Linked DNA regions of Ovis aries. Each later gene encodes a partner of the first gene's protein in a complex. Links are inferred from orthologs where the notes say so. Each region holds a gene or a part of one and is shown in the gene's direction. Other genes may lie near its edges. The genes, in order: SYK and TYROBP.

Region 1 (3,814 bases):
CTTTAATTTCTCTGAGCAAAATTATTTAGTTTTTTGTGTACAGGTCGTGCACAGCTTCTTTGCTGGATTCATTCATAGGTATTTAATATTTTTGGTTTTATATGTGGTATAATTTTAAAATTTTTTCTTGCTATTCCTTGGCATTGCTTGAATGCAAGAATATGATTTTGTCTGTTTGCCTGATGTCCAACAACTTTTCTTAAACTCTTCTATTATTTTTCACTCATTATTTCCAGTAGTTTATTTGTGTATTGTTTGACCCAGAAATATATCATCTATAAATAACAACAGTTTGATTTTATCCTGTGCAATTCTTATACTTTTACACTTCTTCCTTGTCTTATTGTACTAACTAGATACTGTGGTTCAATGTTAAATAAAAGTGTCAGCGGTCACATTCCTCATTCCTAATTTCAGGGGGAAAACTTTCAATATTTCACCAGTAGGTTCATAGCTGCTGTTTATCAGATTATGGAAGTTCCCTTTTATTTCTACTTTTCTGAGAGATTTGTTTTTAATTGTAAGTGGGTGTTACATTTTTTGTTTAGTTTTTCTCCTCTGCTGATAGTCTTTTTCTCCTTTGTTGTGTTTATGGATGAATTACACTGATTGATTTTCAAATGTTAAACCCACCTTGCATTCCTGGAATAAACCTATCTTATTCATGAATTATATATTCATTATATCTTTCTCATAAAGCACTGAATTAAATTTTCTAATATTTCCCTTTGGATTTTTGCATCTACATTGATGGGAGATATCAGTAAATTATTTTCCTGTAATTTTTTTGTCTGGTTTTGGCATCAGGCTGATGGTAACATCATAAAATGAGTTGGGAAGTTCCCTTCCTCCTTTTGTTTCTGGAAAACTTTGTGAATGGTCTTTCTTCCTTAAACATTGGAAGAATCAAGAAGTTTGTGCTTGTTATTTTTGACCCCTACCTCACACCATACATGAAACTAATTCCAGATGGATGGTAGACCGAAATGTGAAAGGTGAAACAATAAGCTATCTAGAGATGGCATGATATTATATTTCCTTGATCTCAGGAGGAGGATGCAGAGGCTTCTTGGGTACTGGATACGTTCTATACTTCCATCTGTGTAGGAACTACATCTTGTGTGCAATGTGTAAATACTCTTGAGTTCTACACTGCAGCTATATGTTCTTTTCTGAATGTATGTCAGACTTACCTGTTATTATGTTATTTAACGTATTTTATTTGATACATCTGTTTTTATTTTCTACTTTTGAAGTTCAACAAAAGAGTTATACTTCCTGCATTTGTGGGAACTGTATCATGAAAAGATGCAGTTTTTCAAATTGTACATATTTAAGTGCTATTTATTTCTTTAAGCCCCCACCATGTCAGGATATTTTCAAGAGTTCAAACATGACTTAAATGATGCTTTTATTCAAAAATGGAAAAAAATTAGTTTTTTTCCAAACTTTTTGAAGCATGCTTAAAATGAACAAAATTCAGTTTTTAGAAGTGTTTTGTAAATTATAAGCTTCAACAGTGCATGCTTTTTAATTCTGCATCTAGAAATTCATTGTAACATATATTAAAGGCATGCTGTAATTACATACATTATAGATAATGATGTGATAAATCTCAAGATGTTACTGGAATCCATGCATGTCAGTTTTTAAAGTTTGTTTGAAAGTTATTTAAATATTCTAGTGTGTCAGCTTTCTGGTTGGTTGGGGCATTCTTCGGCACTCTCCGATTATTTTCAACTAATTACATATTACTCCTTGTCTATAAAATGAGAGAACATGATTGAAGAATTAGCCATGTACAACATGGCTTCTTCAGACATATTTCCACTCTGTGGCAGGTATTTCCATTACTTCATTTCCAGCACAGGAATTATGCGTCATGGAAGATAATTATCCATACGTGAACCACTTTGGAAAGTTTCTTATGTGTTTTGATTTCTTTTGCAGAGTTGTGAAAACAGTGGCTGTGAAAATCCTGAAAAATGAGGCCAATGACCCTGCTCTTAAGGATGAGTTATTAGCAGAAGCGAATGTCATGCAGCAGCTTGACAACCCTTACATTGTGCGCATGATAGGGATATGTGAAGCTGAGTCCTGGATGCTGGTCATGGAGATGGCAGAACTTGGTCCACTCAACAAATATTTACAACAGAACAGGTATCCTTAGGTGCCCCAGTAGCTCATATGTGAGGGGCAGGGCCTGCCTGCCCAGTGCACATCATAGCCTGATTTCTTCCAGAACCCTTGTCTCCTCCGGTGCCTTCCAAGAGTTGGCCCACCCTCAGGGACCTTGAGTGGGGAGGTTTGAAAGCTGTAGTCTTTGGATCAAGTGTTCTTTACCCCTTAATGTATAAAGAAAAACTCTAATTCAACAATTTGGTCTCCTTTGCTCATGTCATACTGGCCTGGTAATAAAGTCAGCCCTAGACTATCTTAGAAAGCATTCTCCTCTCACCAGGCAGAAAGAATGTGCTCTTTTAAAGGAAACAATTAAATAAACATTTTATATGGGAAAACAGTGATATTTTACATATCTGGCTAACTACTGCATTCCCATAAGTAATTATTTTTGAAAATATCCATTGCTGTTAATTCATGGCAACCATCAATGGAGTAATCATGCTATGCTCATCTCCAGTCATGGTTGAGATAGAGAATCATGAGGAATAAATCATAACAATAGCCACTGATTACTTTATCCCATTTGTACCTATGCTTGTGCTTCAGTGGGACTCAAGGTTGTGTTCTTACCTTTTCAATATTGGAATGAGGGTTCTAACTGAACCCTGATTCTCCATGAGCCAGGTCTGACCACCCTGTTATACTGCTTTTCATGTAATTCTAGCAGCTGAATACCAGTCACTGCCACTTGTGACTCTTGCTTTAGAAGAATAGGAAATAAGTGGGTTCATATTCTCTCTGTGTGAGAAGCATGGTTGGTTGCTCTGAAATGGACTCCTGTTCACTATCATTAATGACATATGTGTGGCTTTCAGGCATGTCAAGGATAAAAACATCATAGAGCTGGTTCATCAGGTGTCTATGGGAATGAAATATTTGGAAGAGTGCAATTTTGTGCACAGAGATCTGGCTGCAAGGAATGTATTGCTGGTTACTCAACATTATGCCAAGATCAGTGATTTTGGACTTTCCAAAGCACTTCGTGCTGATGAAAACTACTACAAGGTACGAACAACTCACCCACCATTGAGAGCAGCTGGTAGTAAAAATCTGAAATGCAAATATATGGTTCTTTATTTTATTTTGGTAAGATTTCAAGAAGCAGTTTCCCTATAGAAAAATGACTGTGTAAGAAATGTTCTTCTTAAGCTTTGATTCTATTGTTAAAAAGATGGAAATACTCTAATATGTCACAACTTGAGATTTACTCCGAATAGTATCTTCCAAACTATGTTCCTTAGAAAAATAGGGAATCAAGGTATTAATGATGATTCATCTGGAAAAAAAAACAAGAATAGAATTCATTTGTTAAATTACTTTGGAAAATACATATTGGACAGGTTGACTCTAGTAGGATTTTTCAAAGCTTCTTTATGAACCCTCAAATGAACTGATAGCAAGTAAAAGAAGGGAAAAAAGTAAACAGCCCCATCCTCATATGAACTCAGTCACAGAGTGTATGTAGAGTCTACCCTGACCCATTAGAAAATGTAACAGAGACGAGATAGCAGAAAAGGGTGTCAAGAACATATTCTCAGCTCTTCATGACCCTGGGAATGTCCAACAGTCTCAGAAATAGATGACATACCCTGATGATCTAACTAGTGAATGGCAGGGTGAGAGTCGTGGA
Region 2 (4,493 bases), on another chromosome or scaffold:
GGCTCAGAGCTTCCTCTGGTCGCTGACTGCCCCCGGCTCACTGGGCTGCAGCCACTTGAGATGCCTGAGCAGGCAGGCCCTGCTCACTCCAGACCTGGGGGTGGTAGCGGCGTGTTGATTCTTCTGTGACAGGACTCGGCCAGGCCTGGGCAGTGGCAGTGTTTACCCTCTTCCGGACTCCAAATACCCACCCCCAACTCCAACAAGTCACTCAGGGTCTGTCTCATGACTGGCATCCAGTTTCCCCTTTTTCTTTCCTGAGCCCAGGCCCGGGGAACTGTGAGTGTGCCGCCTGGACGGGGCTTCCTGCCGCTGGCCCATCCCCCTGTAGCCCCTAACCTCAGGTTCCTCCTTCCCCAGCTGTGGCTCCTCTCCTGTTGCGGCTAAAAGTCCTTGTCATCTCCTGGGTGGCCTCTCTCAGTACGGGCTTCCAGCCACTTCCTCATTTGACAGGGGCAGCCCAGCCTGGCCGAGTGTCACCCATTGCCCCCACCTGCCGCACCCCAAAGCCCTAGGCCTGGGTCTGTGCTGTGTGCATCTGTGTGACTGCCTAGTCGTCTCCCTCTTTCTCTGCCTGGTCGCCACTTTCTCCTTCCCTCGCCTCCATCTTGGTTCTTTTCTCTTTTTCTTCAAGGGTCAGATATCTGTCCTTGGGTCCTGGGTTCTATGTCCACATTTATTTGCTGTGTCACTTTGGACGAGTGTCTTTATCCTTCTCTAAAATGGAATAAAAGCATCTACCTCCTCAGGAGGGTGTGCTGTGCTTCATTGTTCAGTCATGTCTGACTCTTCGCGACCCCATGGACTGTAGCCCACCAGGCACCTCTGTCCATGGGGATTCTCCAGGCAAGAATACTGGAGTGGGTAGCCTATCCCTCCTCCAGGGGATCTTCCCAACCCAGGTCTCCCGCATTCCAGGTGAATTCTTTACCATCTAAGCCACCAGGGAAACTCAAGAATACTGGAGTGGGTAGCCTATCCCTTCTCCAGGTGATCTTCCCAAGCCAGGAATCAAACCAGGGTCTCCTGAATTACAGGTGGATTCTTTACCAACTGAGCTACCAGGGAAGCTGCCTCAGAATGGTGTGCTTGGGTTTAAATGCATTAACACTTGGACAGGGTGCCTGTGCGTTACTAAAACCCGTATCCTGGTGGTCTCTTTTAATATCCTATGAACATTACAAGGTTCTGATTGTCAAATAAATATAACTGGTGCTTATAAAAAGCTGACAAGTGTCAGACCCTGTTCTAGAGATACAAATTTATTCAACCCTCACAACACCCTTCAAAGTAGGTATTATTTTACTCCTTGTTTTACAGGTGAGGAAACTGAGGCCCAGAGAGGTTGAGTGACTTTGCTCAAGGTTGTCCAGCCAGGAAGAGGCAGAGATTAGCTCCAATCACAGTCAGCCAGAGACCCTCCTGTGACAATGATGGTGGACCTCTGTCTGGGGGTGGAGGTTGAATGGACACATGCGCCCATCACCCTTCATTCTAACCACTGGAGGCTGCAGCCTGGGGTGTTTGGGCCTGACTCTCTTTGGTGATGTCTGTCTGTCTCTGTTCCTCCTCCCCCACCGTCCCCTCCTCCCTCCTGCCACCACCCACCTCAGACTTCCTCCTTTACTTGGTTGGACACTACGCCACATCCCACCCGCCTTGGACTGTGGTGTCCAGCAGCGTTGCCTGCATCATGGGGGGCCTTAGACCCTCCGATAGGCTCCTATCTCTCCTTCTGACTGTGGGTGGTGAGTTGGGGGCTTCTGCAGCTTCTGGGCTCAGCACGGGGCAGGGCAGGGAGCTGGGTGGAAAGAGAGAATTGAAGTGGGGCGGGGGAGTGTTGGGACTGCAGCAGATCCCCAGCTCCCCAAACCCTATGAGTCTCTCCCAGAGCCTGCGCTCCTACCCGCCCCAAGATTTAGCCTGGGGAGAAGCAGAGGGAGCGGACTCTAAGAGTGTTGCGACAGGACAAGTCGATGTAGAAGGAACACAGTCCAGAGGCCTTGATGACGGCCCCCAGCTCCCTCTCATGCACGCCGGGCATCAGGAGACACCCTCCCCAGCTTCTATGCCTACCCCGCAGTCACAGCCCCGTGTCTCAGTTTACCTTCTTTTCCTCTCCTCAGGTCTCAGCCTCGTCCAGGCCCAGAGGGGTAGGTCTAGACCTTGCAATCCCCCACCCTACCTCCCAGAGATTGCCCCACCTCTGGACCCTTCCCCGGCCTCTCCACACCTCCCCCGCTGATGACTGACACCTCCTCCCAATTCCTACTCCCAGTGGCCTCCCCTGACTCCTATAACACATCCATTCCCAGAATGCAACTGCTCCTCGTTGAGCCCAGGCGTGCTGGCAGGGATCGTGCTGGGGGACCTGATGCTGACCCTCCTCATCGCTCTGGCTGTGTACTCCCTGGGTCGGCTGGTCCCTCGGGGGCGAGGGGCTGCGGAGGGTGAGTGGGGCTGGCTGGGGATGGCCTGGGACCCTCTGAGGACTTGCCTGGAAAGGGAAGGGTAAGCTCCCAAGTCACAGCCTCCCAAAGGGAGGTGATGGAGGGGCTGACTTTGGAACAAGAAAATAGTCCCAATTCTCACCCCACCCCTGAGCAGTGACCCGGAAACAGCACATCACGGAGACAGAGTCGCCTTATCAGGTAAGGAAACCAAGTTCTTGCCTCATCTCTCACTCCGGCCCTGTGGTTGTCTGTCCGAAATGGCCCTCTCCCAGTCCCGGCAGAACCCAGACCCTGAAGCCACTTTCTCAGGAGCTCCTCAAACACTGAACATGAAGCGTCCAAAACTGCTTTCAGTGATCAGTCATGACCTTACCTCAGCTTACCATGTACGGAGGGGAAATTCAGCGATGATTTGCCTCAGCCAGAAGGCAGGAAAAGCCCAGCCCAGGACATGCTGATTTCTCAGAGAAGTCCTCCGAAGAGCAGAGGATATAATTCAACCCAATTTACTAACTTTAAAATGAGGAGTTTTAGAATTAATAGTGGGGGGCAGGGAGCAGATCTTGTCTCCTTTTGAGAAACTGACAAAAGCCAGAGACTCCTCAGAAAAAATCCATACGAAAAACGTAAAACTGTTCATATAATCTACGGGCAGTGCAAGTATCCCTGAAACCCTCCTTAAGAACGATGATACAGGGACTTTCCTGGTGGTCCAATGGCCAAGACTCCACGCTCCCAATGCAGGGAGCTCAGGTTCAGTCCCTGGTTAGGGAACTAGATCCCACAGGCCGCAACTAAGAACCATGATGCAAATGTCATCTTTCCATCTTCCACCCCGTCAGTGTTATTCTTAACCCTTTACGGGATCATGAGTTCCTCTGAGAATCTAATGGAAGACAAACAGACCCTCTCCAGAAAGATGAACTCCCAGACCAGGCATTTGTATGTGATTTTAGGGATATCTGAGGCGGGCATCTTGGGGCCACAGACCCTTACCCCACCCCCACTGTGAACCCTGCTCTGTGAAGTCTGTTTTATTTGTCTGCAACCAGCTCTGGTTTGCCCCACTCGTGGCTTGAAAGTCTCTCTGTAAAATATAAGAATCTCAAGTTTGGCTCCATGAGGACCAGAAGACTCAAGGGAATTTCCAGTTCCTGGGAGGCAGTAACATTTTAGGGCAAAGCCCCAATTCATTCATTCCTTTGGTGAAATTTGTTGAGGGGTTATTTAGGCTAGATGCTGGCGAGCTTACATCCTAGCTGGAGAGACAGTCTTGAAGCAAATTAACAAGATCACTTGGGGAGGCAGTGTGAAGAAAATAAAGCATATTGATGTGACAAGGACTGGGCTGAGAGGAGGAGAAACTAGAGATGAGGGAACCAAGAAATGCCTCTCAGGGAATTCCCTGGTGGTCCAGTGGTTAAGACTCTGTGCTTCCAATGCAGGGGGGCCCAGGTTTGATCTCTGTTCCACATGCCATGTGGTCAAAGGAAAAGAGAAATGCCTCTCTGAGAAAATGCCATGAGCTGAGACTAGAAAGGGGAGAAGGAGCCTCCCATGGGAATATCTGGGGGACTGGTGTTCCAGGCAGAGAGAAGAGCACACCCAAAGGCCCCTTGCCTGGGGCGTAATGGTGAGGCAGAGGGAAGAGGCGAACACTGAATGCCTTTGAATAAAATCCCAGATCTCTTTCATGGCTACAAAGTTGAAGAAGCTTCCGGAGGCCTTGCCAGCCCCTGGAAGAAAGCTAGATTTTCAGTTTATTTGGTCCATACCCTGGTGGTCCTTTCACTGATGGTCCATACCCTATCCATCCCTTAGGAGCTCCAGGGCCAGAGGACAGATGTCTACAGCGACCTCAATACACAGAGGCCATATTACAAATGAGTCCAAAGCAGGGCAGTCAACAACCTGATGTCTGGATCCAGTCATTCCTGATGCCTGCTCAGCACTCTACTCCTAATCTCACCAAGACACAGATGCACAGAGTGACCTCCATAAGATGTCAGACCTCTCCCCACTATTGCCCCCAAATAAACA

Evidence for each region.
Region 2: the proteins of SYK (region 1) and TYROBP are in contact, whole or in part, in a crystal structure (PDB 7Q5W), measured with the Homo sapiens proteins. The link is inferred for Ovis aries from reciprocal best matches to the Homo sapiens genes SYK and TYROBP. Residues at the interface, in NP_001167638.1 of Homo sapiens: Arg22, Arg42, Asn46, His62, His63, Tyr64, Thr65, Ile76, Ala77, Gly78, Gly79, His92, Asp97, Gly98, Leu99, Arg175, Arg195, Arg197, Lys212, Leu214, His215, Tyr216, Arg217, Ile228, Pro229, Glu230, Gly231, Lys232, His243, Lys247; in NP_003323.1 of Homo sapiens: Pro90, Tyr91, Gln92, Glu93, Leu94, Gln95, Arg98, Ser99, Asp100, Val101, Tyr102, Ser103, Asp104, Leu105, Asn106.

What each region holds. Positions count from the first base shown.
Region 1 is NC_056055.1:25,897,628-25,901,441, forward strand, and holds part of SYK (tyrosine-protein kinase SYK), read left to right. Parts: intron 1-1,950; coding exon 1,951-2,160; intron 2,161-2,999; coding exon 3,000-3,189; intron 3,190-3,814. UniProt on the Homo sapiens protein: Non-receptor tyrosine kinase which mediates signal transduction downstream of a variety of transmembrane receptors including classical immunoreceptors like the B-cell receptor (BCR).
Region 2 is NC_056067.1:45,899,264-45,903,756, reverse strand, and holds the start of TYROBP (TYRO protein tyrosine kinase-binding protein), read left to right. Parts: upstream 1-1,637; 5' UTR 1,638-1,693; coding exon 1,694-1,748; intron 1,749-2,126; coding exon 2,127-2,153; intron 2,154-2,315; coding exon 2,316-2,450; intron 2,451-2,607; coding exon 2,608-2,651; intron 2,652-4,274; coding exon 4,275-4,340; 3' UTR 4,341-4,493. UniProt on the Homo sapiens protein: Adapter protein which non-covalently associates with activating receptors found on the surface of a variety of immune cells to mediate signaling and cell activation following ligand binding by the receptors.